Linked DNA regions of Mus musculus. The protein of the gene in region 1 interacts with the protein of each later gene in a biochemical or structural test. Links are inferred from orthologs where the notes say so. Each region holds a gene or a part of one and is shown in the gene's direction. Other genes may lie near its edges.

The links.
Region 2: the proteins of Kit (region 1) and Matk form a complex in vitro, tested with the Homo sapiens proteins (2 studies listed by BioGRID). The link is inferred for Mus musculus from reciprocal best matches to the Homo sapiens genes KIT and MATK.
Region 3: the proteins of Kit (region 1) and Kitl form a complex in vitro, tested with the Homo sapiens proteins (3 studies listed by BioGRID and IntAct, with this or other methods). The link is inferred for Mus musculus from reciprocal best matches to the Homo sapiens genes KIT and KITLG.
Region 4: the proteins of Kit (region 1) and Grb2 form a complex in vitro, tested with the Homo sapiens proteins (5 studies listed by BioGRID and IntAct, with this or other methods). The link is inferred for Mus musculus from reciprocal best matches to the Homo sapiens genes KIT and GRB2.
Region 5: the proteins of Kit (region 1) and Yes1 form a complex in vitro, tested with the Homo sapiens proteins (2 studies listed by BioGRID and IntAct, with this or other methods). The link is inferred for Mus musculus from reciprocal best matches to the Homo sapiens genes KIT and YES1.
Region 6: the proteins of Kit (region 1) and Sh2b3 form a complex in vitro, tested with the Homo sapiens proteins (2 studies listed by BioGRID and IntAct, with this or other methods). The link is inferred for Mus musculus from reciprocal best matches to the Homo sapiens genes KIT and SH2B3.
Region 7: the proteins of Kit (region 1) and Grb7 form a complex in vitro, tested with the Homo sapiens proteins (3 studies listed by BioGRID and IntAct, with this or other methods). The link is inferred for Mus musculus from reciprocal best matches to the Homo sapiens genes KIT and GRB7.

Annotation. Positions count from the first base shown.
Region 1 is NC_000071.6:75,573,583-75,577,786, forward strand, and holds the start of Kit (mast/stem cell growth factor receptor Kit isoform 1 precursor), read left to right. Parts: upstream 1-1,404; 5' UTR 1,405-1,469; coding exon 1,470-1,536; intron 1,537-2,160; exon of another isoform or gene 2,161-2,464; coding exon of another isoform or gene 2,465-2,483; intron 2,484-4,204. UniProt on the Homo sapiens protein: Tyrosine-protein kinase that acts as a cell-surface receptor for the cytokine KITLG/SCF and plays an essential role in the regulation of cell survival and proliferation, hematopoiesis, stem cell maintenance, gametogenesis, mast cell development, migration and function, and in melanogenesis.
Region 2 is NC_000076.6:81,256,081-81,260,098, forward strand, and holds the start of Matk (megakaryocyte-associated tyrosine-protein kinase), read left to right. Parts: upstream 1-1,218; 5' UTR 1,219-1,494; intron 1,495-1,749; exon of another isoform or gene 1,750-1,890; intron 1,891-1,960; exon of another isoform or gene 1,961-2,155; coding exon of another isoform or gene 2,156-2,224; intron 2,225-2,399; coding exon of another isoform or gene 2,400-2,450; coding exon 2,451-2,459; intron 2,460-3,093; coding exon of another isoform or gene 3,094-3,096; coding exon 3,097-3,207; intron 3,208-3,302; coding exon 3,303-3,418; intron 3,419-3,506; coding exon 3,507-3,726; intron 3,727-4,008; coding exon 4,009-4,018.
Region 3 is NC_000076.6:100,085,321-100,088,820, forward strand, and holds part of Kitl (kit ligand isoform 1 precursor), read left to right. Parts: intron 1-2,026; coding exon 2,027-2,136; intron 2,137-2,832; coding exon 2,833-2,900; intron 2,901-3,500. UniProt on the Homo sapiens protein: Ligand for the receptor-type protein-tyrosine kinase KIT. Plays an essential role in the regulation of cell survival and proliferation, hematopoiesis, stem cell maintenance, gametogenesis, mast cell development, migration and function, and in melanogenesis.
Region 4 is NC_000077.6:115,649,598-115,653,097, reverse strand, and holds part of Grb2 (growth factor receptor-bound protein 2), read left to right. Parts: intron 1-3,204; coding exon 3,205-3,327; intron 3,328-3,500. UniProt on the Homo sapiens protein: Non-enzymatic adapter protein that plays a pivotal role in precisely regulated signaling cascades from cell surface receptors to cellular responses, including signaling transduction and gene expression.
Region 5 is NC_000071.6:32,609,671-32,613,970, forward strand, and holds the start of Yes1 (tyrosine-protein kinase Yes), read left to right. Parts: upstream 1-1,500; 5' UTR 1,501-1,553; coding exon of another isoform or gene 1,554-2,382; intron 2,383-4,300. Other genes in the region: Gm10461 (collagen alpha-1(II) chain), read right to left, coding at 1,554-2,382. UniProt on the Homo sapiens protein: Non-receptor protein tyrosine kinase that is involved in the regulation of cell growth and survival, apoptosis, cell-cell adhesion, cytoskeleton remodeling, and differentiation.
Region 6 is NC_000071.6:121,834,060-121,838,084, reverse strand, and holds the start of Sh2b3 (SH2B adapter protein 3), read left to right. Parts: upstream 1-1,225; 5' UTR 1,226-1,535; exon of another isoform or gene 1,536-1,668; intron 1,669-1,825; exon of another isoform or gene 1,826-1,865; intron 1,866-1,980; exon of another isoform or gene 1,981-3,261; intron 3,262-4,025. UniProt on the Homo sapiens protein: Links T-cell receptor activation signal to phospholipase C-gamma-1, GRB2 and phosphatidylinositol 3-kinase.
Region 7 is NC_000077.6:98,445,389-98,449,633, forward strand, and holds the start of Grb7 (growth factor receptor-bound protein 7), read left to right. Parts: upstream 1-1,445; 5' UTR 1,446-1,861; intron 1,862-2,096; exon of another isoform or gene 2,097-2,120; intron 2,121-3,409; exon of another isoform or gene 3,410-4,245. UniProt on the Homo sapiens protein: Adapter protein that interacts with the cytoplasmic domain of numerous receptor kinases and modulates down-stream signaling. Promotes activation of down-stream protein kinases, including STAT3, AKT1, MAPK1 and/or MAPK3. Promotes activation of HRAS.

The DNA of each region.
Region 1 (4,204 bases):
CCAAAACAAACGTTTATCTTCTCTACTTCATAACGTTAACTGTAGACCCGGATACTATAAAAACCCAGATTGTTACTGTCCACCCCCGGATAGCCACAGTGACTGTGAAATGTCCCTAGGTAGAAATTGTCTTAAGAGAATTACTTTAGGAGTTGGAGAGTTGGGTCAATTAGTTAAGAACAAGAAAGTTGGCGCATGACTTTAATCCCAGCACTTGGGAGGCAGAGGCAGGCGAATTTCTGAGTTCGAGGCAGCCTGGTCTACAAAGTGAGTTCCAGGACAGCCAGTAACCCTGTCTCGAAACAAACAAACAAACAAACAAAGAAACAAACAAAGAACAAGAGTAGTTGGGCTCCAGGCACCCACAAGATGATACACAAGCATCCGTAACTCTAGTTTCAGGAGATCTGACATCCTTCTGACCTCCCTGGGCACTAGTCACACACGTGGCACACACACATATTCATGTAAGTAAAACACTCATACACATTAAAAAAAAACTTTAAAAGGAAATTATTTTGCTTTTATCTTGCTCCTAAGGCAGACCACAGTCGGATCGAGTTGGGGAAAGGGGGACTCAGAGGGGATGGGGCGGGGGGGGGGTGTTGAGGGTGAGATTAAAAAAATAATTAACACAAGAGAAAAGGCACCCAAATGCAAATAGGTTTTAAAAACCGAGTTTCAAAGCTAACTCCTTCACAGGATGCCTCTGTAGTCCACTGGCCCAGTTTCCACAAGTCTCAGCAGGAGCTTGGCTGGGTGGAGGTCCACGCTGGCCAATAGAAATCAGCTGTATTCTTACAGGTTTCGCAGCAGGTGGAGAAACTGAGCATGAAAAATTACTTAAACGTGGGCTCGGTCTTTTACTGAGGTCAGGGGTGCCACGATCCGTCCTCCTCTACCAACAGGAACAGAAATAAATGTTGGGGACCCAGTTTCCTAATCCCTTCGCCCGGCAATCCCGACTAGTAACACCTCCACCATAAGCCGAATATATTCTCCCCGCTCCGGAGCTTGCTGGAGGGACCGGTGGTTGTCCTTTATTGTCTAGGGAGCACCTGCCAGGTGGCTGGCCCGTACCTAATGCGCTCGTGGCGCTGGGCTTCACAAAGCGCGGGCAGCACCTGCGTGGCCAGCCAGCCGCCTGGACTGAAGGACCACCGATGGAGGGAGAGTGCTAGGAGGAAGAGGATCCAGGGTGGAGGGCCTGTGGGGGCTCCTGGTCTTAGAGGGCACAGCGCCCCCGGGATCAGCTTATTGCAGCCCGAGAGCCCCGGGCACTAGGCAGCGGGAGGGAGTGCGACCCGGGCGGGAGAAGGGAGGGGCGTGGCCACGAGCTGGGAGGAGGGCTGGAGGAGGGGCTGTCGCGCGCCGCTAGTGGCTCTGGGGGCTCGGCTTTGCCGCGCTCGGTGCACTTGGGCGAGAGCTGTAGCAGAGAGAGGAGCTCAGAGTCTAGCGCAGCCACCGCGATGAGAGGCGCTCGCGGCGCCTGGGATCTGCTCTGCGTCCTGTTGGTCCTGCTCCGTGGCCAGACAGGTGGGAAAGAGCGGCAGACAAGAGGACTGCACCCTCTGTGGGCGCAGCCCGGGTCCGGGAGGGGTGCCACCTGGGTGCGTCCGGAGTGGTAGCTGTTGGCTTTTCCCATGCCTACCACCTCGAAGGTGGTAGGCGGCCGCGGGACTCTGGTGGCCCGCCTCGCTCACCTGAGCTGAGAGACCTCAGCCCGGGTGGTGGAGACCCGGGGCCGAGGGTCTTCTGGGAACCCAGGCAGCGAGCTGCAGGCTGCGGGCGAGTTTGGTGATGCTTTTGTGCCGACTGCGCGCGGGTGGCAGGGGCGGGCGGCCTCGGGCTTCGCACCGAGAGCGTCCTCTCTCCGAGCGAGGTGCGGCCACGGCTTCCTTTTTGTTAAAAGTTGCGCGTGGGTGACCGACGCCTGGGACAACCAGCCCACGGGTCCCGGACACACGCCGGGCAAAGTTGGAGAGCCTTTTCTTGCGGCCGCTGCTTCCCCACCTCGGGCGCTCTTTGTGCACAGTGCTGGGGACGCAACTGCAGCCGCTCTCATCGTGCGCGGCGCCACCCGAGGAGACGAATCTCGGGCTTGCTTGCCCCCACCCAACTCCGTTTTTTGCACGGGGAGCACGCGGCGTGAGGCTCTGGGGCGGGACCCCACGAGCCTGTAGGTGGCGGCTATGGGGACAACTTGAGCCGGGCGTGTGGCGAGCAGCCGCTAGGTTGCAGACTTTTTCCTTTTGTAAATCTCGTGCTAGGGGCTCGCCCCTCTCTGCAGCCGCACGGTGTTCGTTGCTGCCACGCGCCAGGGAGCTGCTGTAGCCTACGTTGGTCGCCAGCTTCTGGGAATCAGGGACTGCGTGCGGGGACGCAGCTGTTCTTGCCACCTCGTGCGCGCTGGACCAGGACCGAGTCAGTTCTCCCCAGCTTTGGAAACCTCTGGTTTCAGTGTATGCGACTTGTAATCGCAGGTGGCCGTTTTTTTTTTTTTTTTTTTTTTTTGGAGGGGAATCCCGAGATCCAGAAACCCTCTCCCACGTGATAGCCATACTCAGGGCTGCCTGGGGAGGCTAGGGGGTGGGGGAGAAGGGGTAAGCTTTCTGCAAATAGCATTTGTTTCTTCAAGCTGTTGGGAAAATCTTGTTACCTTTTGCAGGGTAACTTGGGTCTCAAGATCTTAAGGTTCCGGAGCTCCTCAGCCCTGCCCCTTTTTTTGCCAGGTGTCGCTGGTGCACTGCCCGTGCAGGTTGCCTGCTTAGTCCTGAAGCCCTGCTCCCTCCTAGGTCATTTTCAAAACAAAAACCAGAAACCCTTTTAGGTTACCTTGATGCTATAGGCTAGAGACAATCTGCACGCTGCAATAAGGCGTCAGATGGCCAGCATCTCTGTGACCTGTTTTGAGCCCACCGCTGACTGCGTTTTCCAGATCTCACTCCCTAGATGCTTTTGAAAGGCTGGGAGAGGGCTTTTTTTTTGTGGGGGAAGTCTTGCATCTGGACCTCTGCGCGCACAGAAGAGGGGTCACCAAGGGTCACAAATGAGTGTTCAGATTCCTAGGCATATTTGACCACTTAGCTGAAAATGACCCCAGTGATCTTTTACGTTTTCCACCTTGTTCTGCTTTAGAGCAAGGTGGAACGCCACAAAGATCACAGTTCCCTTTTGAAAACAGAAACGAGTCAATGGTTTGCATTTTCCCCCTGATTAGTCTGCTCTGGCCAATAACTTTTTGGCAGAGGGAATTTGAAGGTCTGATTCCTGGCACAGGGTGTGTTGTAATTCCTTTCTCTGTCTCTCCCGTTTCAGGCCTCCTTTTCAGCCATTCTGCCTCCTTGGTTTTGTGCCCTTGGGCGGTCATTTAAATTGGGAGTGGGTGTGTGTTGGGGGGGACTTTGGTTTCCACGGAAGGTACTTGAAGACATTTGCATCACGAAGGATCTGAGGAGTTCACAATTTCAGAAAGCAGCTTTCTTGTCTAAGGGCCTTTTGGGGTGTGTGTGTGTGTGTGTGTGTGTGTGTGTGTGTGTTACGGTTTTGCTCCAGGCTTTGCAGGAAGCAGTTTTGTGTTTTTGTTTATGCTGTAACCTTTGGAGGGCTAACCAGTGCCTGCTCTGCAGTAACCCCTCCTTCCGGGGCATTCACAGTGGGTTTACAGCTCAACAGGATGGTCCTAGAACAGTGAATCAGACCTCCTCCCCCTCCCCACACCCCCTGTTCCTGCAGGTGCAAGTCCCTAGTCATTCATGGTCATTCACGCACCTGGCATTCTGGCTTACGATCCTGCTGGAGATAATCTGATAGTTCCTTGAAGAGATCCTCAATAATTCCACGTCTCCCCCATTCTGGGCTCTCCCCATCCATCCACACATTCGTATGACGTTATAAATCATGTATGCCATGCTTTTGCAACACTCTTCCTACTGTGCTTTAAATATCATATCATGGATGTGTTTTGTGCATACTTGGGGCTTCACAATCAGTAAATGTCTGCAAGGCTCCCCATACTGAGGGCTTTGCCTGCCATTTCTGTACTCAGGGGCCCAGGAGGTTAGACCACTACAGTGTCTATTCCTATTCCACCATTGTTTTCCAATTGGAGAATAAGTCACTTGCCCAAAACAGCCAGTGAAGGAACCGGAGCTCAGCTCCGTGTGCCCAACTGTGCATCCATTATACAACTCACCAGAATCTG
Region 2 (4,018 bases), on another chromosome or scaffold:
TGACAATAACACTTCTCTTAAAAGATCTGTCTTGGGCTGGAGAGATGGCTCAGCAGGTAAGAGCACTGACTGCTCTTCAGAAGGTCCTGAGTTCAAATCCCAGCAACCACATGGTGGCTCACAGCCATCCGTAATGAGATTGGATGCACTCTTCTGATGTGTCTGAAGACAGCTACAGTGTACTTACATATAATAAATAAATCTTTTAAAAAAAAACTGTCTTGAAAAAAACAAAAACAAAAACAAGGAAATGTCCTCTGTACCCTGATCTTCTCATGCTCCTGCCTCAGCTTCTCCCAAGGCTTGGATTGCAGGCTATGTCCTTCAACCCCAAGGGCCAGTGCCGTTTCAACACATATACTTCTCAGGTAGCCCAGGCTGGCCTTAAATTGACTACGTAGCTGAGGATAACCTTAACTCCTGATCCTTCTGCTTCTGCCTCTCCAGTGCTGAGGTGACAGGCCTGTGACACCACAGTGTGTCACCCATTGAGCCCCAGTCCCCACTTTTGGATCTTTGCTAACTGTAGGTACTAGAATAAACATCTGTACAAAGTCCACTGGTAAGACAATTGGAGGAGGTCTCGCTAGGCCCGTGCCAGAGCGAGTCAGAAAGCAGTTGGTTACTGCAGAGCACTTGGACCACTACTGCACCCGTGGGGCATCTGCCGGCAGTGTGGGTGGTGGCTGATGGTGACAGGAGGGAGGGAGCCTGTGACTCAGACACTGTCATCAGCAATAGGGTCCGAGAAAAGTGGAACTTTGGGCTGCCTTGGTTCCAAGTCTCTGGGCCTCCCTGGCCAAGGACTCCTCAGTGGGTACCTGCATCTGCCTGGGGACTTGTGATTAAGGACTGTGGCTTCTGGCCGTGTCATGTCCATCAGGGTGCTTCTAGGCACCTCTGCCCAAACGTGCTTAATTACTTAATTGGGTTTTATTTGCTTTTTTTTTTTTTTTTTTTTTTTTTTTTTTTTTTTTGAGGCAAGTTCTTACTCTGTAGCTCTCTATTTTAGCCCAGGCAGGGTTCCAACTCACAGAGATCCTCCTGCTTCTGCCTCCGGAGGGCTGGGAGGATGTTTGAGTGCTCCACAGCTGGCATGTCTGAAAGTACAGGCAGACCAGGCAGGGCCGCAGCTTGCCTTGGTCTCCTTCCCGGACAGGGAGCTCCTTCCTACTCCTAGCACCTGCGCGCGTGCCCGAGCCATTCCGCGCTCCCAGCTTTCCCAGGGTGGGCGAAGGAAGGCTAGGATTCAGCGGGGACCCGAGAGCACCCGGCACTTGGTACTCAGCACTCTGCCCGGACGGAGTGGGAGGCGCAGCGGGAGGAGGTGGCAGCGCGGTCTTAGTGAGACCGGCGCTAGGACCCGCGGGGGCTCCGAGCCGGGTCCCCTCCATCCTTGCCCCAAAATGAGGAAGCCTTGCAAGTTGCTCCGAGTTGAGCCACTGGGTGCTCGACCCGCTGGCAGGGACCCTCCGAGGGTCGCGCCCTAAGCAGGTGAGCGTGTGTGCGTGGGTGGAGGGGGACACCACTCTCGAAACGGTCCTGGACCCGGGGGCGTCGGGTGCAACGGGCTGGTTTTTGTTTTATTTTGGTTTTTTTCTGGGTGCGGCGTGCAAGTCTCTGAGTGCGCGAGTCCCGGTGGTCACTGCAGGGCCCTTGTGCACCACAGGCACCAGCACAGGTGTACGCGTCTCACTGGCGCCCTTGTCGCACACACGGGGGTGGCTGGTGGCACCTGTGCCCAGATGCACGTGCGCCTCCGCCTGCGTGGCTGCCGTGCAAACCCCACTGAGTCTGAGGCCAGGAGCGCACCCCAACCTCCCGCCCTGCCCCCCTGCCAGCCACCAGCCGGGGATCCGGGCAGCCCTGCAGTGCCTGCGCTGGGATGGGGTGGGTCCCCTCAAGATGCTTCTTTGGTGACCCGTTGCGACCCGAGGAGCCAGGAGCTATACGGGAGCCTGGCCTCCTCAGGTTCCGCTTAGGGTCAGATTCCCAGGAATGACCTTGAGTCACGGCCCCTGCCCACAGCCTCCTCTGCCCACGCCCAGGAAAGAGGAAGCCACAGGCCCAGTTCTTTCTCACACACAGCCCTGGCTGCCACCTGGGCCAGATCACTCCATTCCTGACTCTGGGCCTCAGTTTCCCTTCCCGAGCAATGGCAAGGCGAAGCTCCCGGGTCTCCTGGCTGGCCTTTGAAGGCTGGGAATCTAGGGACCTGCCTCGGGTAATGATCACTGTCCCTAAAGCCAAGGGCTGCAGAGGGGCTCCACACCTAAGCCATCCAAGGGATGATTTGAGGGAGGCGCTTTGCTTCCTGGATGCTGCTGCCACCAGGCCAGACCCTGAGGAAAGAGCTGGACCTGGGGACACTCCCAGCATGACACTGCCTTCCTTCACAGGTGAGCCCTAGATTGTTCGGAGCTTGGCACCCCGCGCCTGCTGCAGCTAGGATGCCAACGGTGAGTGTGGGGCCCTGAGTCACCAAACCTTTTCAACTGTCCCCTTTTGGGGGGGAACATGCCCCTCCCCACTTGAGCAAGCACCCACACCTGACAGTCCCCAAGGACCCCTCTCCCCCCACCCGCCAAAATGGCTTCACGTGACTATAATTCTGCCTCTCTCTATAACTCTGTTTCCCTCCCCCCTTCCTTTCTGTATTAGACATTATCCCCAGGCCTCTATTCTTTATTTTAATTTATTCTTGAGACAGGGTCTCAATGTGTAGGTATGCCTGGCTTGGGACCTGAGAGTCTCCAGGCTAGCCTCAAACTCAGAGATCCACTTTCCTCTGCTACCCCCACCCCTGCCCTGAGTTCTGGGATTACAAGTGTTGGCCAGCACTCCTGGCATCATCATCTTTTAATTTTTGAGACAAAGTCTCACTGTAGCCCAGGATGGGCCTTTGGCTGGTTTGGAGTCCTCCTGGCTCAGCTTTCTGAGAGCTAGGCTACAGGCCTGTGTCTTCACTATTCCCTTGTCCGGTCTTCTATCCTCACCAGCCCCAGCTTTCTCTCAGGTCTCTCTGTCCCTCCCAATTCCCACTTGTCCCTGTGTTCAGTCCCTGACATACCTCTGCCTCTGTCTCCTTCCCAGCAGCGCTGGGCCCCTGGGACTCAATGCATGACCAAGTGTGAGAACTCTCGCCCCAAGCCCGGTGAGCTAGCCTTTCGAAAGGGTGACATGGTGACCATCTTGGAGGCCTGTGAGGTGAGAGGGGAGCTGGAGGGTAGGTGGTGTGCCTTGGGGGTGCCAGGGCCGACACCCACCAGCTCCTTCCCCACATCTGTTCCCTTCCTGTACAGGACAAGAGCTGGTACCGAGCCAAGCACCATGGCAGTGGGCAGGAAGGGCTGCTGGCGGCCGCTGCTCTGCGACAGCGGGAGGCCCTCTCCACAGACCCCAAGCTCAGCCTCATGCCGTGAGTGGCACCCTGGGGGGTGGTGTGAGAGGCTCAGCCCCCTCTACCCCTGCCTTACACAGCCCCCTCTCCACACACATCCCTACAGATGGTTTCATGGCAAGATCTCCGGCCAGGAAGCCATACAGCAGCTGCAGCCACCCGAGGACGGGCTGTTCCTTGTGAGGGAATCAGCTCGTCACCCTGGAGACTATGTCTTGTGTGTCAGTTTCGGCCGTGACGTCATCCACTACCGTGTTTTGCATCGAGATGGGCACCTCACCATCGATGAGGCCGTGTGTTTCTGTAACCTGATGGACATGGTGGAGGTGACGTGTGGGGCAAGGCTGGGGAAGGAGGGATGGAAATATGGATGGTGGCCCCAGGAACTGTCACTTCTTTCTCTAGAACTGGGGTCACCTCCCCAGGGAGCTCTATGTTCACACCAACCACCCCTCAGTTTCCATTCTACAACCCCCACTGTTGCCATGGAAACCCGATCACCTTAGCCTGGCACTTAGAGGAGGAGTCTGGCAACCTCACTGAAACTTGGGGTGGGATGGTGGGAGCGGTCCTGCAGGGCAGAGGCTCATGGCCGGCGGCCTCCACAGCACTACACCA
Region 3 (3,500 bases), on another chromosome or scaffold:
CTGAGGCATCCATTTCTGCTGGAGAGCCCTGGTCGAGGTGCTGAAGTTCTCCCAAGAGATAGTGTAAGCTAGCCTTTTTTGATAAAGATATCCTCTCTCTCTAAGCATTATTAGCATGCCCGGAAGAACTGAGGCCAGGTTTCCAACCATGAAATAATAGGAGCAGCAATGAGCTCTGGAGAAAGACTATCACCCCTTTTCTTCCCCCTGTCTTTAGGGTCCCTAAATGGGAATGTTGCTGTATTTTAGACACTACAACTTGTGTTGAGCAGTAGTAGTTCCAGTGTGAACAGTCCCAGTAGACAGTAGTGGCCACAGCAGGGGAATACAAATGCAAATAGCCAACTTATTTATTGGTAGACTGTGATGTACATCACACCTTTGGTCATTCTCAATCTCTTTGAGACTAAGGTAGCTATTTTGCTTTGGAGAGATAAATGAATATCGGTTCCCAATTTGGGATGCCTAAAACATGCCTATCCTGAGGCTGTAGTATGATGTGGCAGGCCAGAGAACTGTTAGTTTTGTCGTGAGGAAGCAGTTTATTGTTATGTTGGTGGATGACAATATTTCAGACAGCTCCCCCACACAACCCCTGCATCTCATACTGAGCACCCATCCCTAAGCATTCCCTCTAACACGCATGCGCAGGAAGGAGCTCACGAACAAATGTGATTTGGGGAGGACAGGAAATGGGGAATTAGGAAATTCTCTCCTTGGCATCCACAAGTATTGGGAGGAATAGCAGAGCCCTGTTCTCACTATAGTAGATATGATTTGTTTCTTACCTTCTAGAATAAACCTATGAGTTTTTCCCCTTATCAACATGGGGTGTACCTACACAGTGGATCTCCTCCTTGGAGGGGTGTTAGCTGCTAAGTAAGTAATTGTAAGCTCACCTTGTGACCAAATTCCTGTTACAAAGCTACTTAAAAGCAGTCCCTCTACCTTGATCCTGTTTTGATTTGTGGCCTGTAGTTGTTGGAAAGGTATAATTTCTTTGAAAGGGAATTTCAGGCTAGCAAATGCTCCAGTATTTCCAAATAGGGAAATTGTTCTTTATAAATGAGTCCTCTAGGGAAATCGGTCCTAGTCTGGCTCACTTTGGGAGAAAGACCATCGTGGGACTCATTCAACTTCTCAAGGCAAAACAAGGCCAGGGAAGGTATCAACAGTCAGGGCCATTTATTTTTTTAACTAAAGTGTTATTTCCTGCAGGATGACACTGGTGGCTTTAGTCATTCTTCAGAGTAGTTTCAAACTTTCCAATGTAAAATGAAAAACAAGAAAGAAATTCCTGCTCCCCTGTGTGGACTGAGGGTGTGAGTGAGCCAAGAGCCCCAAGTTTAAGGCTGCTTAAAGTGCTGTATCTGCAGGATGCATTTAATGATTTGCTGTCTGCATCAGACTAACCCTAGCTGAATGCGTGCAGAATCCGATCCATCTTGCAAAGTTCTTTTAAATTGGGGGTCAGAATGCTAAGAGCAAGACAGCTAAATAATATTAAGGTAATCGATTAGAGAAAAAAGATTTGCTTGATGGTAGAAATCTTTTCTGCTCAGGAATATATCAAGCCTGGATTCCAAACATGCATGAACCTTAACTGCATTAAGTCTCTTCCTGCCTGTTGGATTTCTTCTTCTTCTTCTTCTGCTTCTTCTTCTTCTTCTTCTTCTTCTTCTTCTTCTTCTTCTTCTTCTTCTTCTTCTTCTTCTTCTTCTTCTCCTTCTTCTTCTTCTTCTTCCTCCTCCTCCTCCTCCTCCTCCTCCTCCTCCTCCTCTTCCTCTTCCTCTTCCTCTTCCTCTTCCTCTCCTCCTCTTCCTTTAAACACTTTTGTCTTTTAGAGATTATATGGACTTACACTGCTTGCAGAAACAAAATTGAACAGAAAGCCCTGCTTCATTTTTTTGAAAACTGTAAAAGGCTGTGCACGTCATTATGGAATCCTTTGGGAGCAACCTCAACCTATCTGGCAGACCTCTGGAATACAGCTGAGTTCTTTACCACCATGTTCTTTGATTTGCAGGGAAAGCCGCAAAGGCCCCTGAAGACTCGGGCCTACAATGGACAGCCATGGCATTGCCGGCTCTCATTTCGCTTGTAATTGGCTTTGCTTTTGGAGCCTTATACTGGAAGGTGAGCATTGTTTTTCTTTCTACCTCATCATCAACTTTATATACTTGTTTTATATATATACACATACACACACACACACACACACACACACACACACATATATATATACATATATATATATATACATATATATATATATATATATATGGCACTTTTTCAAAAAATTTGAAGAAACAATCATTCTTACTATAACATAGGGCCTCAAAGAAATTCAAACGTTAGGGAAGTGTCCACCATTGTGCATTGGAGGTGTGTCCCCTACTACAGACAAGGCACACTTAAGGGCTGGGGCCCAGTTTAATGGTCTGAATTAAATATAAAAAGAAAGAAAAAATATCAATACTCATATGCTGTGCTTTACAGCCAAACAGATGTGCCTTTCTGTGGCTGCTCTTTTGAGTGCCCTCTCTTTTGTGGTCTTACTGGTCTGTCTAAAATTCCAAAGGTGCCAAATCATGATGACTCTGCATTAATAATTATCTTTTTAATTTGATTGCTATTTATAGAACAGCCTATGAACACTGAGCTGCCCGGGCTTTCACTGTACACACCCACAAATATTTTGATTGCTAAAAGACAAGCACCGGTGACGGTGGCTCAGTTGCCTTTAATAGTAACAGTGTAGAGTGCTGACCTCAAGAATTGCAGCCGTCACTGGGGTTTCTACAATAGGTGTCACTCTTTTTGTTTTTCCAGAAGAAACAGTCAAGTCTTACAAGGGCAGTTGAAAATATACAGATTAATGAAGAGGATAATGAGATAAGGTATTTTGTTCTCCTAACTGTGTGCTCCAACAAGCTTGGTGTCGTCCTTTCTCATGCTGTGCCTATGCAGGACTCTAACATCTGTAGGGAGGTGTTCTTTAAGGAGATGTTCCGAGATGGGCTGCACCTCCCATTCAGTGTGTTCCAGATGTGTCGTAATTTCTGGCCTTCCACTGTGTCTTCACTCTTACGTCTTTACCTATGAATAGTGTCTGGGAAGGCACATTTGCCTAGGTTCCCTTTTCTATTGGTGTCCTTACATCCTTTGGAGATCGCCTTTCTCACCTGTGTCTGGTGTCTCTATTATGTGTTGGCTGAGTGGCGATGATCACACTCTTTTTTTGTCTTCGGCTCTGTGAATACATTCTCTGTCGTGTTATTTCTGAAATCTCTGTTTGCGATGCTGCTTCCTGTTCACCAACACTACATGCCTTTCCCTGGCAGCCTTCGATCTAACTTTTCACTTTATTCTGAATCTCAGATCCCTTAGTTTTCTCGAATGCTTTTAGTATTTTACCTACAGCTAAATAAAACCATTATCTTAAGATGTTTTCCAACCTCCTGTAATTGACAGTGATGCCTCTTTCACCATTCCCTCCA
Region 4 (3,500 bases), on another chromosome or scaffold:
AACTCGAGACTGTATACTTAGTGAGCCTGGAGCATACACACAGACACAGATCTGTGAAATGGCTTACAAACTAATGTTTTTGTTCTATTTTAGTTTTTGAAGTATGGCTTCACTATATAACCCAGACAGGCCTTGAAGTTACAGTAATCCTCCTGCCTCTTCCTTCTCAGTGCTAGAATTATAGGTATAAATCTAAAATTAAATTTTTAAAATTTTAAGCTGAAAATAAAATTGTGTTGATTCTTAAGTTGGGAATGAGAAAGCACTGGGGCTCACACAAATGTCGGGTTGATGCCCATAAAGAAAGCCTAGATGCACACACTGCCTGCAGCCAGCAACTCCTGATGAAAGGCAGGGGCATGAGAGAAAGTGCTGCTCTTTATTCTTCCTTAGTGTGCATTTAGGCTACTTTAATTTAAACCCACTGCTTTATAGCTTTAAAGAAAAGAGGGTGAATATGGTCAGAAAGCATTATATGAAATTCTCAAAAGAGTAATTGTTTAAAAAGTATGTACTGAGCCGGGCGTGGTGGCGCACACCTTTAATCCCAGCACTCGGGAGGCAGAGGCAGGCGGATTTCTGAGTTCGAGGCCAGCCTGGTCTACAAAGTGAGTTCCAGGACATCTAGGGCTACACAGAGAAACCCTGTCTTGAAAAAACAAAAACAAAACAAAACAAAAAGTATGTACTGGGCTGGAGAAATGGCTCAGCAGGTGAGAGCACCGACTGCTCTTCCAGAGGTCCTGAGTTCAAACCCCAGCAACCACATGGTGGCTCACAACCATCTGCAATGGTATCCAATTCCCTTTTCTGGTGTGTCTGAAGACAGCTACAGTGTACTCATATACCTGAAATAAATAAATAAAGCATGTGATTGGTGATCGGGGAAGGGAGAGGAAGATGGGTGCTGAGAACATTTGCCCTTCCCTGGTGAGTGTGGAGGTGAGGGAGCTGTCACTGGGGATCAGCCTATGGCCATGACTAGATGCTGCTGGACCATCCATAGAGTGAGCGAAGCTTCTCTGGTCTCTTTTGAGGTGATTCCGTCTGTTGGTAGGGAATTTCCCTGGTGTGGCTGCTCCCTGGGCACTGTAGGCTTCATTCTTAAGCATCTGTAGCAACAGGAAGGTGTCTCCATGGTGTGTGTGGCATCAGAGATGCAGAGTGAGAAGGATTTGAAACCTAGACTTGGGAGTGTTTAGACTCCCGCAGTCTCTGGGCACCCTGCCCTGCAGCTTCATGTCTTTGCCTGAATCTTAGTTTTAATCTGGCAGAATTTTTTTTTAAAAATACTTTGCAGGGTAGTTGTTTATTAAGCCAGCTGTGAGCTCTGCCTGTGGCAAATGCCTATAATTCTCAGGTCTTGGTAGGCCGTTGTTGACCAGACATAAAACCCTGATTCAAAGCAGACACCAGCCTTGGTGGCTTCCTCTTACATTTTCACCTCTCAGATAGCTAAGCAGGAGTGTGGGATTCCGAGGCAGCCATATTGGTGCACAGACTTGTAGGATGGCATGGGCTGCCATATGAGGGCTGCCTCAGAACAGCTTAACAGACCCCAGTAGGGCTACACAGATGTTCAGCAAGCAAGGCACTTGTCACACAAGCCAGGTGACCTGGATTTCATCCCTGGAATTCACAAAAGGCTGTCAGAACAGAATGACACCCCCCACCCCCCAGGGTTGTCTTCTAACCCCCATGTGGATACACGGTGGCTTTAGAAAATGAAAAGATGATTATAAAGTTAGCTTTAGGTGGCAGTAATAACAAATAACCATGAAAACATTATTATTTTATGTATATAGGTGTTTTACCTATGTGTATGTCTCTTTGTCACAGGCCTTCAGAGGCCAGAATTGGGCATCATTCTCTCCGGGAACTGGACTTGTAGGTGGTTGTGAGCTGGTATGTGGGTGCTGGGAACTGAACCCATGTCCTTGGGGCGAAAAGCCAGGACTCGTAAGTGCTGAGCTGTTCCTCTAGCTTGAAATAAAAAATTGTAAATATGATTATGAAAGTTATGTTCTTGGTGAGCATACACGAGGCCTGAGGTTCAGCACCCAGCACCACATAAAACCAGGCATGGTGGGATACACCTATGGCATAATAGCTGTAATGAAATGAGGCTTTGTCACTAATAGACAGTCTGGTACTGTTGTGATTAGTTATCATTGCATGTTTAAATTTTTCAGATACCAGGGCTGGCGAGATGGCTCAGTGGGTAGGAGCACTTACTGCTCTTCTGAAGGTCCTGAGTTCAAATCTCAACAACCACATGGTGGCTCATAACCACCCATAATGTTAGGAGTGGCATGTCTGAAGACAGCTACAGTATACTTATGTATAATAAGCAGGAGCAAGGACTGAGCAAGTGGAGTTGACTGGAGTGAGTGGGGGCAACCGGGGTGGGCAGAGGTCCTAAAAAAATTCAATTCCAAACAACCACATGAAGGCTCACAACCATCTGTTCAGCTTCAGTGTACTATATACATAAAATAAATAATAATTTAAAAAAATTTTTTTTCAGATACCATAAGGTAATGGGCTTTGGTTTTTCGAGACAGTCCCACTGTGTAGTTCTAGCTGTCCTGAAACTATGTAGACCAGGCTGACCTGGAACCAAAGAGATCACCTTTGTCTGCCTTCTGGGTGCTGGGATAAAGGCGTGCATCACTGCCACAACCTAGACTCTAATTCCTCACAATGCAAGCCTCCCTTCTTGCTTTTGCAGAATCCACCCTTCTACAGCTGCGAAGTTGTAGGCCTTCCCAGCCTTTCCCTGCACTCCTATTATGAAATGGCTTTGAAAGGCCTGTCTTCCCTCTGCCCTTATCTTGGGTGTCAGGGCTTTCCTAGGTCCCTCCTGATGAGTGAGAGGCAGGAGGGCTTTGTCCTCAGAAACTGGCTTTCAGACTGCATGTTGGGAATGGTCTCCTTGGAGACTGAAGAGTGGCCTGTGTTGCTGCCTTGAATTATGATCTAGAGTGTGGAGTAAGCGAAGCTGTTTGAAAGCTCCATCTCTCAGGAAGGCCCTGAGCCAGGTAAGAGCCCCAGGGAGCCTTAGGCAGGAGACCCGCAGGTAAAGAGCTCCCCTCTGTCTCTGACAAGCACTCACTACAGGAGCGCTCTCATTTACATGCCAGGTTGTACATCCCGTCTCTTTGTGGGGAAGCAGATGGTGACCAGCTTGCCTTCCTTCCTTAGGTGGTTTTTTGGCAAAATCCCCAGAGCCAAGGCAGAAGAAATGCTCAGCAAACAGCGGCATGACGGGGCCTTCCTGATCCGAGAGAGCGAGAGCGCTCCTGGGGACTTCTCCCTGTCCGTCAAGTAAGTGTTTCCTGCTGGCCTTGCCAGAGAAGCTGCTGCCTTTGACTGGATTGTAAGGCTGTGGGGAAGATGTTAACACATCTTTTCCTGTGGAAATCCTAGTGTTTGCTCTAAGGCCTAGTTGTAGCAGATCTGAGGTTTTAGGTTTGAAGTGTCATGAACCTGGGGGAGCT
Region 5 (4,300 bases), about 43 Mb from region 1:
GCAAGCAAAGTAAAACAAAATAAAATATAAAACAAATTCAAAACAGGTTAGACTAACATTGAGAGGGTTTTTGTTTGTTGTCTTTTAAATTGGGAGAGTTTAGGGTCACAAATATATTTCTATTTTATCTGTAGGTTTAGAAAGGCAACAGCTCAAGTAACTAACGTTCTAGTTTCAAGAAAAAACTTGCTGGGCGGTGGTGGCGCACGCCTTTAATCCTAGCACTTGGTAGGCAGAGGCAGGGGGATTTCTGAGTTCGAGGCCAGCCTGGTCTACAAAGTGGGTTCCAGGACAGCCAGAGCTATACAGAGAAAAACAAAAAAACAAAAAAACAAAAAAAAAAAAAAAACAAAACAAAACAAAAAAACCCCTTAATGCACCAGTCAATGGCAAAATAAAGCACCGCGCTACATCACACATAGTTGTTCATGTGGATTCCCATTCCTTTCTCTGAAGAAACTTTTTAAAGCTGTGTGCATTTAAGTTGCTAAAGTACCAGACTACTGACGGAGTTGATATGTCAAAGATGATGCTGAATTTCTCTGAAAACCACAAAGGAAACCAACAGTCCCACATTAATACTTCGAATAACCCCACCAAAGAGGAAATACAAAAGGGAAATTAAGAGTGTGATAAGGCAGACGTGCCTTTAGCAGGAGTACTTCTAGATTGTCTTTTGACCCTCTCAATCTTGTACCTCAGTTCCTCCTAAACCCTTCCTTTTTCTACAAGGCAAGCAGAAAAAACGATGCAAGGCCTTCGGAGGGAAAACAAACAAAAAACCTTTCATCTTGACTTCTTCACTTCAAGGGGCCCAAACGTCAGCTTTCATAGCTGTCAAGAAGAGTCACAGTGCCTGTCCGGGTTCCCTATTACGAGGATCAAATACAATGCTGTCCCACTCTAAGTGAGAGCCACCATTCCTGGGAGAATTGCCAACACAACTCAGGTTCGGTTCTACTCGCGCGGCAAGGCTGGTTCGACCTACAGTCAACAGGAAGCTTCTGCGGCCAGACGAGAACCAAGGTGTCAGCACTGCCCTGATGGCTCACGCGGTTCGACTGTGATTTTACTATCAGTGACAAAGGGTGCGGAGGCACAAAGCTGAGAAATGAACAGTCAACCTTTCTCCAAAGAACCCCAACCCCGATCACCCTCCGAAAACAAAGCCCCACACCCCTCAGTGTTTCGGTGAGCCAGGCGGAGCCCCGCTTCGCCCGTTGCGGTAGTCGGCGTGCGGGCAAGGCAGGGAACCACATGCCGCTGCTGCTTTCTCCTCACGCCCCCTCGGGAGCACGCCTGACCCCTGGCGCCATGTTGGGCCGGCAGGCACGACACGGCCGGGCCTCCCAGCGGCCCGCGGACCCCGCGCAGAGCTCCCGCGCCGGAAGGCGCTCCCAGCAGACAGCAGAGCGCGAGTTCCGGTGAGCGGGCGCGCGCAGGTAGCCGCAACCCCCGCCCCGCGCGCGATCCGGAGCGGAGGGGCGGGGCCGGCGGCGAGAGGAGGAGAGAGGGAGGCCGCGGGGTGCGGGCGTCCGGGAGTTCCCTCCTCCTCAAGTAAAGCGTCCCGGGCCGGCTGCGCCGCCGTCGCTGCCTCCTGGCGCCCCGCGACCTGGAGGTGGAGAAGGGAGAGGGACCCGCGGGCGTCCACCTCGGCCGGCCGCCTTCTCCCCGCGGCGACCCGTGCGAGTGCGGCCGGACTCAGGTAAGCTCGCGGCGTGGCCTCGCGACGTAGGCAGCTGACCCGGACCGGGCAGCTCTAGGCCTCGGCATCCACCCTCCTGCTCCCGGGCTTCTCGAGGCGCCGCCGCCCCTGCCGCTGTCCGCCTACTGGTCCCGGAGTCTGGAAGTTGAGGAGAAACTTCTCCCCTCCCGCGGTCTGGCTGGCGGGCGTGAGTGTCTCGTCTCCTGGGCTCACTACCTGCTTGCCCAGTGCCTCGGTCTCCGCCCTGTCCAGTACTTCCCGATTCTGCGGGAGTCCGGATAGTGGTCCAGCCTATGTGGTGCCGCCGCTGCACCCTCCACCCCAAAGGACGTGGGGTCACTCCCGAATGAGGACCAGAGGGTAGGGCAGCGGCCCCTTCTCGTCCTAGCGGCTGGAGGTCTGTGTCGCCGGACGCCCGCAGCAACTGTCTGGAGCGAGGAGTGGAACTCGTGGAGCGAGCGGGTGAGCGGCGGGTTGTACTTGGTTTGATTGCAAACCACGACCTGTTTATAAAGTTTTCCTTTGTTTGGGTTTGAGGGTGTTGGGACGTGTTACAATCAGCGGCCACTTTTAAGTGCCTTGCCACTCCGCCTCCCCGTGAGTTCGGTTCTCTGTCCTCCTGTGTCAACGAAAATTTTGTTTGTGTTTTGCTTCTTGATAATTGCTTCCAGCTTTTGCTTTATTGGGCTTGAGAAAGAGTTGTTTTTAAAAAGTGGGAATATCGTTTCTGGTATAGGGATTGTGAATGGGGCATAGCGTAGTTTTGATGTAGTTATTCTTTGCATAAGTGATTGGAACAGCAGTGGAAATGACAGTTATCAAAGTAAATAAACGAAAAGTATGCAGTTGAAACATAACTTTGTACCTCTCTTGTGTGTTCCACAGCTGTGTTTTTTACATGTGATTTCACAGGATATTTCGGTATGGTATATTCATGTATTTCGTGTAAAATTACTGACCAAAATTGGCAATTGAAAGTGAGTTTAAACATCCTGTTAAATTTCTAAATTTAAATTACTCACTAATGAAAATGTTATTAAGTGTGCATGTGTGACTCAATTTAAGGCCAAATGTGTGCTACCTCTATTAACCAGCACAATGGTGTGGACTAGAAACATTTTGAGTGGGCAGATAGGGAGTGTTAAATTAAAAGCCAAAGTTCTTATATGCAACATATATGAGAGAGAATACAACTGTAGGAAAGTTGTTCTTCAGGAATTTTTTCCGCTTGCTAAATGCATTTAGCTATATCTTATTTTTGAATACCAGCAAAACCTCAGTGAAAATGTAGATGCTGGTTGACATTTCAGTAGGTCCTAAATTTAGGGGAGGGAGAAGATTGCCTTTGATTGAAACTTAGATACAAGACTGTTTATATTCCATATTTCCAGGATAAAATAAAAGCTTTTAAAATGTGTGCTTTGCCATAAAACTACGGTAATGTTATACCTTTAATTTTGTAGCTAGTTTTTGCTGACTTCACAAACCACAAAATTGACTCCTTTCTGTTCAACTGAAAGTGAAATTACAGCCTTGACCTGTCTTCTTGGGATAGGTGTGAAATTTATCTCATGGCCAAAGGATAATATTAATATATAGTCAAAAATTGTTTTTAGTTGAAGAAATTCTCAAAAAAACCCATTGTCTTTGCAAATAAAATTTTATTTCATTGCATATATAAATAAAAGAATATGCTAAAAGAGTAGTGAAATATTACTACTTGTATACTTGTTTAAATCCTTGTTTACTTACAGTTCAAATTTGCATAGTTCTAACAGTAATAGCATACTACTGTGGGTAATTTAAAAAAATATATTTTATTTATATAAGTACACTGTCGCTGTCTTCAGACACCAGAAGAGGGCATCAGATCCCATTACAGATGGTTGTGAGCCACCATGTGGTTGCTGGGAATTGAACTCAGGATCTCCGGAAGAGCAGTCAATGCTCTTAACTGCTGAGCCAACTCTCCAGCCTTGGTAATTTTTAAAAAAAATATATTGAGCTTCCAATTTAGTGGTTCAGGTTGGTGTGAGCATCATTTATTAGTCTTATTACTTATTACCATTGTTTAGGAAAGAAACCTGAGCAGATTTTTTTTTTTTTTTTTTTTTTTGAAGAGCATTGCTAGGTTCTGATGTCTAGGGATGCAAATTTAAGTGATAAAACTATTAAAAAAAAAACTACAAGGAAGTGATGCTTCTATCCTTGGGGTCTTGGAGGTGTTAGTTTTAATTTAATTTATGAGCTCATACATTTGTGTGTTTGTTACCTGGGTTTTATATTTTACATAAAAATATTTTTAAGAAGCCTGAATGTAATGCAGTATAGAAGGTGCTTAGGTTAAGTTAATAATTTTCAAGATAATCTGGTTTCCTGTCACATCCTTTAATCTTTTCCCTGTTGATTAAAAATTTTAGTCATTGGTGTCTAGCTTAAGGGCACTCCCTGGGCTCTTCTTTGCTAACAGGTTTAGACTTCTTGCATCATAAATATCATATACTAGTTTGTGTGTGAAAATACCACACACACACACACACACACACACACACTCACACAAAAAAATCTAATAAAAAAAAGTTAAAAAAAAAGAAA
Region 6 (4,025 bases), about 46 Mb from region 1:
GGGTGGGTGGGTGGGGGCTTCTTCCAAGCCATTTTGCTACCAGGCTCCAGCTTGCTGCCGTCCGATTGTAGTGGAAATCCCCACCTACGGGGGAGTCCCTTCTTCGGGCTCCAACAGCAGGCCCGGGGACTGAATTCAGCCCGGTTGGTTAGGCTGCTCTAATGTGAGCAACTCACTTCTTCCAGTCCCTGAGTGGGCTGGAGACACGTGTTATTTCCATTTCATAGATGAAAAAACTGAGTTGGAGGGGGTCAAATATTTGGTCCCACGCAGCAAGGGGAAGGCTCCAGGGAGCCAGCGGCTCGTGGGAGCCTGTCGTCTGGGAAGGCTTGCAGTGGCCCCTCCAAGCTGGGGGCGTGGGCGGCCTGCTTCCTGTTGGGGGAGGGGGAGGGGACAGGCATTCCTCTTTCCCCTCCCTCCGTAGAGTCGCGGGGAAGACTGGCGTGCAGTGAGTGACTCCACTTCAGAACAGGGGCACCCCACTGTTAGCCAATGTGGCGATAGAGAAAAGGTAAAGGGCTAAGGGGCGCGCAGGCGTGGACGTTCAAAGGGCTCGGCTGCCTGGGATGCGAAGGAGCTCTTGGAGAAAGTTTCATCAAGCTAGAGAATGCGGCCGGGCGGCCAGGTAGAGAACAGCCTACTCGGCCCGTTCCGGGACTCCGAGGACCTTAGGAGGGGAGCGGACTTCAAATGGATGGCGCCGCGGAGGCAGGACGGCTCGGCGGAGTCATGGATAGTGGGGCCAGGGTGGGGCTGGCCCCTTCCCCTGGAGGTGATGAAAACCGCGGTCGCAGTTGCTAGACCCGGCCGGGCAAGCTCAGATAAGGTTGGGCTTGGAGGGAGTCCGCAGGGGCGCGCCCCTAGGAGGTCCCGAAGGTCGGGGCAGCCACGCCCATCGCGCGCCTAGCCCCGCCCCACCCCTTCTAGGGGCCCCGCCTTGCCGAGGCACGCGGTGACTGGCCAGCGCGAGAGGGGCGGGACCGAGCACGCTCCTCCCCTTCGAGATTCTTTATTTTATTATTATTTTTTTTCCCTTCTTTAGGGGGCGCGACGCAACTTGGGTGCAGAGAGCGCGCCTTATGGGGGCGGAGCTTGTCGCTATGCTACCTCCCACCGGGCAGCGGGCGGAGGCGCGAGAGGAGGGCGGGGCCGGGATAGGCTCCGCCCCCGGCCTCCGCAGGCGGCCCCGGGGCGTGGCTCTCTGTGGCCACGCCCCCAGGCCGCCCTCCGCCGCCGCGCGCGGCTCGCGGCTGGTTCCTCTTTACATAACGGCGTGGGGCGGCATGGGCTCGGGCCGTCGCCTCCGCCTGGCCGCTCTCCAGCCCAGACTGTCACGGGCCACACGGGGTCCACATCGGCGGCGGCAGCAGCAGCAGCGTCCTGGGGACGGCCCGAGGCCGCGTCCCCCGGCTGCTGTCAGGAGCTGGCGGCGGAAATGAGGCGCTGGCCGTTTTCCGAGCCGGGGTTTCCTGCCTGAGCGCCGAGAGGCCGTGCGACGCCATGGGCCGGCCGGGCCCCGACCCGCAGCTTGCGCGGTAAGCGCGGCCCGCCGAGCGTGTTGGAGGAACTGGGCCGGGCGGCCGTCCCCGGGTCCCGCTTCTGTTTTCTGGCGTTTCCTCATTCTGTTTCTCTTCCCCAATCCCAGACCGCAGTGATGTGGGCGCGGAGGTCAGTGCTTTCAGCTGGGGCCTCCGGAGAGGAGCCTGGCGGGGCGCCGCGGGAGGAACCGAGAGCTGTCCCGGCACACAGCGTGCTTGGGCCCCTGCCGGGGGGGGGGGTGTGCTGGCGGTGAGGGTGGGAGGGGGGGACACGTGTGTCACTAGTGCCCCGGTGATCAACCAAGGATGATATGCGGAGTCCTAAAGGTGAAATCAGCCAGAGATGGGGGAAGGGGGTGGGACAGGCCATGACAGGCCAGGGCCCGCTGGGGGAAGTTGAGGTTATAAGAGTTTTATGCTCTTAGGACACTTTCTGAACCTTGTTCCCCAGGCCTCCTCTGGGAGGAAACGCCATCTGAGCCAGGAGGGGTGAATACATTCTGGAACTTGTGCAGTCCCAATGGGTGGTCAGCTGGGAAGGGGCTGGCCCGCAGCAGCGGCAGCAGCTGTGGTTTGGGGATCTCAAGGGCTGGGCAGTGACAAGAGAGGAAACCGAGGGTCCTAGAGGCAGAACTTGTGTTCTTTCTCCTCTGCTCTCCAAGATGAGGGTCGCGACCTCAGTTTCCCCGCTGTTCAGTGAGTGAGAAGAGATTTGTGGTGCAGTTACAATGAGGTGGAGTTTTAATGAATGCTGTGTGGAAGGCACCTGCGTCCGGCTGGGAGAAGGGCTCAGTTACAGGCCGTTGGGAGAAGACCTCAGTTACAGGCCGTTGGTTTTCAGACTGTCCAGTTTTATTGACCCTGGCCCTGGGACCGTCCTCGGCTCTCTCCTGAGCATAGCTGCTCTGGGGTTTCCCGAGTCTGTGGGCAGGGAACTCTGAAGGACCCTGGGCAGGGTCAGATGACAAACCCCTTCCTGGCCTGGGTTCCCTCAGTTGACACCTAACTTGTGAGGGCCACCAGAGCACAGGATGGCTTGATCAGGAGGGCAGGCAGTCATGACAAGGGTGTTATCTGTTTTGTTGAGGTCATTTGCTGCTCCTCTTCCTTCCTGACTCTCTGGCACCAAATGTCACCCAGTGCCTGGTCCTCATCGTTCAAAATGTTCTTAGAGAAGTGACGGTCCTTTCCTTTGAGTAGCTGGGCTGTGCCATCAGCTTGTGTGCCTCAGGCTGTCTAGGCTAGTTGGGCCACCATCTGGTTTCTCCCACTTCTGCGATAGAGCTGAAGGTGCTTGGGAGCCCCTTCCGGCTGCCTGGGCCTGTATCACACCCTTTCCAGAGCAGGTCTCTGGGGGTCCAGCCCACATTGTGAGGCTAGTCAGCTGCTGAATGTCCCATTGCTGTGACTCTTTGGGTGGGCACTTCTGTGAGGCAATGAAAAAGTCATCAAGAGCGGGAAGGGTTTTAACTGCTGGCACGAGGAGATGGGACAGATAGTACTGTTAAAACTAAAACGAGAGGTCTTTCCTTTCAAGTCCTCATTTCTCCCTGGAGCAGCACTTGTGTGGAGACTAATCCAGACTCTGCTAGCTTCAGGGGTGAGGCCCTGGGCAAGTTACCTGACATCTCTTGGGACCTGCCCAGTGTCAGCCAAGTCTTGTGCCTCTCTAGGTGGTTGTGCACTATGTAGGAGCCCAACAAGGAGAAGACATTTGAAGCAGGTAGGCAGTAACTGGCCTGACTCTGAGATCTTAGGCTTGGGTTGTGCTGTCTCAGAGTTACAGGTGTTCTTGGAAGTCTGAAGTGGAGGTGCTGAAGGACAGAGTCGGGGAGAGGCATGCAGTATTGGCATGTTAGTGCTCAATAAATTTAAGCTATTGCTATTAATCCATTGCTATTAATCCAGGAGTGGCTGGCCCTTAATTGCCAGGTTTCCTGGGAAAACGGTCCCCAGGGCCCCTTGGGTGTTGAGCATCTCTGGTTGGGCAGAGCAGGAAGCAGCTTCCATCTGGAGTTTCTGGAGGGGCTGCTCCTTCCTGCCAGGCCTGTTCCCGGCCACCCACCCTCCCCGAGGAAACTGAGGCTGGCACACCGCTTAGGGGAAATGACTCAGTGGGGGTCACTAGCTGAGTCATACCTAGTTGGACCCAGGAGCCTTGCACCCCAGCTTCCAGCTTCCGGGGGCTTGAGGTCCTTCAGGGACCGGGTACACCTCAGGCCTGGTTGCATGCCCTTGGGCACTGTTAGACACCACCTGCTTGCGCCCCATGATCTGGACAACCTGTGTCTCTTGGTCAGTGATCTAGGGATCTCAGTGACGCCCCCGCCCCCACCTCCTGCATTGAGCTCTCCAGCCCAGTACCATTCTCATTGGGACAAGAGACAAGTCCCTAAGGGACCTGATGGCCTGCCCCGCCCTGGCCAGCCGGAAACCCCAGCAGCTGAGCAGATGGCTGAAAGATTTTTCCTCCCACACAACCCTGTC
Region 7 (4,245 bases), on another chromosome or scaffold:
ACTCCTGGCAGGGTCTGGCTTCTGCCCACTCCTCCTGCCAGTCTGGACAAACAGGATGGATGGCTCTCAAACCTGGTTTGCAAAACAGCCACCTGAGGGCTTGTCAATATCTCACATTCCTGGGGCTCTGCCTCCTCAGTGCTTTGAGACTCTGGTAGCTGAGGAGGGGCCCACGGGTCTGCTCTTTCCAGAGCAGCTTAAGAGACTGTGTTCCCCCCTTTTAAGAGCTGCAGTGTTTTCCCTCCACCCCTCCCGTACCTGCAAGACCTGCCCAGACTACCTGATGGCCTCCGTTCCTGTCCACCCCCACTCTCTTCTGCATTCCCTCCCAGCAGCTGCTTCTCCACACTGGGGGTCCACCATGGCAGGTTAACCCCTCTGGTTCCCACTCACTGCCAGGTCCTCCCTGGCTTTGTTTTCATGGCCTTCCCTGCCTCCTGTGAGTCACTCACCTGGCAAACTTGTCACCTGTCATTTCTTATTTGTGTGACTCTTAAAGGTCAGTCTCCCCGACTGGGTTGCAGCCAGCAAAGGGCGGGTCTGTTTTTGTTGTTTTGCTCTGTATACCCAGCGCCAAGCACAGGTCTGCTAGGTTGGAAATGAGGAAATTGTCTCCTGCAATTTGTTCAAATTGCTTCCTGGCCCAAGCAACCTGCCCCTTCCTCACCTTTTTGCTTTGCTCTATTCATACTAGTCTGTCTGATGTCTGTCTGTCTGTCGTCACTCTGTTTTTGAAACAGGGCTTCTCTGTACAGTCCTCACTGTCCATGTAGACCATGCTGGCCTCGAACTCACAGAGATCCACCTGCCCCTGCCCCTAGAGAGCTGGGATTAAAAGGCACACACTTCCACGGTGGCTTTCCACATTAGTTTTTCAAGCGGAAAAGCTAAGGGAGGCTGTGCTTCCTCAGGGCAGACCCCTTATCGCCCCAGTGGCTTGTTTGTTTTCTTAACTCTTAGCCATAGGAAGCTGGGAGGTGGCCCGCTGCCTTTGATCTGGGGACTCTCAACCCCTCTTCCTGATCCTCCAATGTTTGCTGTGAGCTGAACCAGAAAGCTGGAGTAACTGCTGTAATAGAAGCCATCTGCATCAGGCCACAACGGTCACCAGAACTGTGGCCCCTCCCACTAGGCCACCTTGCCACTCTTAAACTTGAAACTAGGAAGGTGAGACCCTGGACTTGCCTCGGAAGAGAGGGTGCACCTTGGGTATTTTAGCAGGGCCAGGACAACAGCCTGGGCGGCTGGACTGTGGTTGGAGGTCAAAGGGCAGAGCACCTCTTCTGGCTTCCCTTTTAAGCCCAGTGCCCTTTGCCCTAGGGGGTGAGATCCGAGCTGAAGACGGCCCCCTAGCTTGACCAATGAACTGACCATCATTGGAATGGGACGAGTAGGAGTGGGCGGGACCATTCGCGTTTAACAAACAGCCTCCAAACTCCCCTTCCCATGTAGTCAGGATTCTAGATTTTTCTCTGTCCAGCCTGTTCTCTCCGGGGCACCTGCTCTCTCTCTCTCTCTCCCTCTCTCCTAGCACCTGCTGCTCAGTAGGAAGGGCAAGAGCAATTCGAGGCGGTGCATTGTGAGGAGTCTCCACCCCTCCTCCTGCGCTTCCTTCTCCAGGGAGCCTCTCAGGCTCCGCCCTTACCTGCCCGAGATAATTTTAGTTTCCCTGGGCCTGGAATCTGGATACGCAGGGCTCGCTCTATATTCTCCCGCCTCAACATTCCAAAGGCGGGATAGCCTTTCTACCATCTGTAGAGAAGAGAGAAAGGATTCGAAATCAAATCTAAGTGTCTGGGATCTCTAGACAGAGCCAGACTTTGGGCCGGGTGTCCGGCTCCTTCTGTTGGAGGTGCTCCAGGTAAGCCGACCGAGATCGGTCTTAGATAATCTGCTCCTACCCCCAGCCTCACCGAGGGCCCCAGGTTGTGCCTGCATCGAGCGGATCTGGCCTGCTGCCCAGTTAGATGGCCGGGAGGCTGCCACGCTCTCCCCCCTGACCGCCCTCTCTCGGCGAGGTCAGGCCAGAGGCGGGGGGTGGGGGTGGGGGTGGGGGAGAAGGGGGGTGGGTGATAGTTAAGGCCTGGAATCTTCCTCCCTAAACCGGTGGCCTCAGGCAGGTGAGCTATGGTCTGGGTAAAGGCGGAAGCGGGAACTTCATCTTGGGGGATGGGATGGGATGGGATGGGATGCAAGTTAGGTCTGGGTCCCTAAGGAAAGAGTCACACTCCTGATGCTCTCTGCGCTGCATTGTTTGTTTTGTTTGTTGCTTGGCATCACCAATCCTTCCCCTTCCTCATCTTGCTCCCTGAGACCCGAGGTAAGGTCTCTCCATCACCTGAAATCTTGACTTTCCGGCTAAAACTAGTTCTTACCCAACACCAGTTAGTAGGGGGTGCTAGATCCGGAGGTTGCCCTTCAATACCTTATTGAGCTCAGTTTACTACAATCTGGGGTTCCCATTCGGAGGGGAGTAAGGGAGAGCGACTCCCGCAATGGTTGGAACTGCATCTCTCCACGTTGTGGTCCCATCTCCGATACGGAAGCTCAGCAGGCTGCGGATCCCTCCTGGCTGCAAATGAGTGTGGACAAAGAAAGCTAGAGGGGTGGGTGTAGTGTGAAGGTCTGCAGTTCGGGGCCTGGAAAACAGTGTATGGCCGGGTATGTGGGCCTGCCTGAGGCTGAAGTTGGGGGAAAGACCTAGTTAGGTCTGGGTTTTCATGGTAGGATGGAGACAGAGTGCATCTGAGGGACAGCTGATAGTATTTTCAACCTTTTCTCCCTCTTTTCCCCCCAAGAATGCAATGCCTTCTGGGTCATGAGTCTGTCTAGCTTGGACTCTGCTCTCCCCCAATAGCGCGTGCTAATGTGTGTGTGTGTGTGTGTGTGTGTGTGTGTGTTTGTGTTCTCCCCGAAGGCAAACTAATGATTAACTCTACAGAGAACTCTAGCATTCTTCCCAAATTAAACATTAAAAGAGTTGTCCCGCCCGCTTTATTTCATTGGATGTTCCCACCCCCCCCCCAACCCCGGCGGAATGGGTGGAGCATCAACTTTGGGTCAACTCAGGGTTTCCTACCTCCCCACCTGCTCCCGGTACCCGGAAAGGTTAAGCCCCCCCCCCCCCCCACTTCCCTCCCCAAGTCCTGATGGGTGTTAGCTTCCTGTGCTGGTCCAGAGCCGGATCTCAGGCTGCCCAGGCCAGCAGCTCAGTGTCTGCCCCACGAACCCTTCGCCTCATCTTGGGAAGAGGAGATGGTGGCCTTGTTTGCAGTTGGCCCCAAACATTAGGCCTTGCCACTCGCCCCTGGGGCTTTCTAGGTGGGGCAAGATTCAGGAAGTAAACAAGGCAGCAGGGAGGGTAGGAGAGAGGGTGGGGCAGGAGCTGCTGGGGCTGGAGAGCCAGAGTTTGGAGTGGCCTAGCTGAGAGGACAAATTGGTTGGGGGACCAGTTTCTCCAACGGAACCTTTGCTTAGGCCCTAGTTTGAATGTTTTCCATCTTTTGGGCAGGCCCCACAGCAGGCTCCCCTGCCTCATCTCAAATTTTAGTTACTCTACCGTCCCCTAGAGCTGTCCATCTTAAGGGTGTGGTGGAGGGATCTGGAAGCTAACCCTAGTTTAGCCTGCACCTGAGCTTCTAACATCAGACTGTAATCTGACTTCAATCTACTTCCTCCCGTTTCAAACACCTGTCTAACTGGGTGTTGTTTTCTCCATTTGAGGGAGGGGCACCCTTGCTGATGCTCCCACCTCTGCTTGAAAAAGGAGATTAGGTGAGTGGGAGTGGGTGCCCGGTGTTGATGTTCCTTGCTTGGTGTCTTGAGGATGCTAAGTGTCAGATGGGTCTTGCTTGCTCTTCTTGGCTGTCCTGGGGGGTGCTTTGCTGCCTGCCTGCCTGTCTTCTTGGGTGTTTTAACTCCACTTCTGCCTGGTGATACCCCTCAGGTCAGGACACCCCAGAGTGTGTTTAGAGACCCTCTCCCACAGAGCAATCCCTGGGACTAGATATACAATCACCATCATATATCTTGGGATAGTTAACAGCAAACAGAGTTGTAGGTTCCAGACCCAGGCCAGGCAGGGCTGGATGCTGCTTGTCTATCACCAGGAGGTGGGCTCCAATCCTGATAGGCTCCTGGATCCAGGCCGGGCGTTTCTTCTCTCCTTCCTGGGCTATGGGCAGGGAGATGGTTCAGGACTAGAGGTGGGTAGATGATTATTCCCACCTGAGCTGGACACTGGCC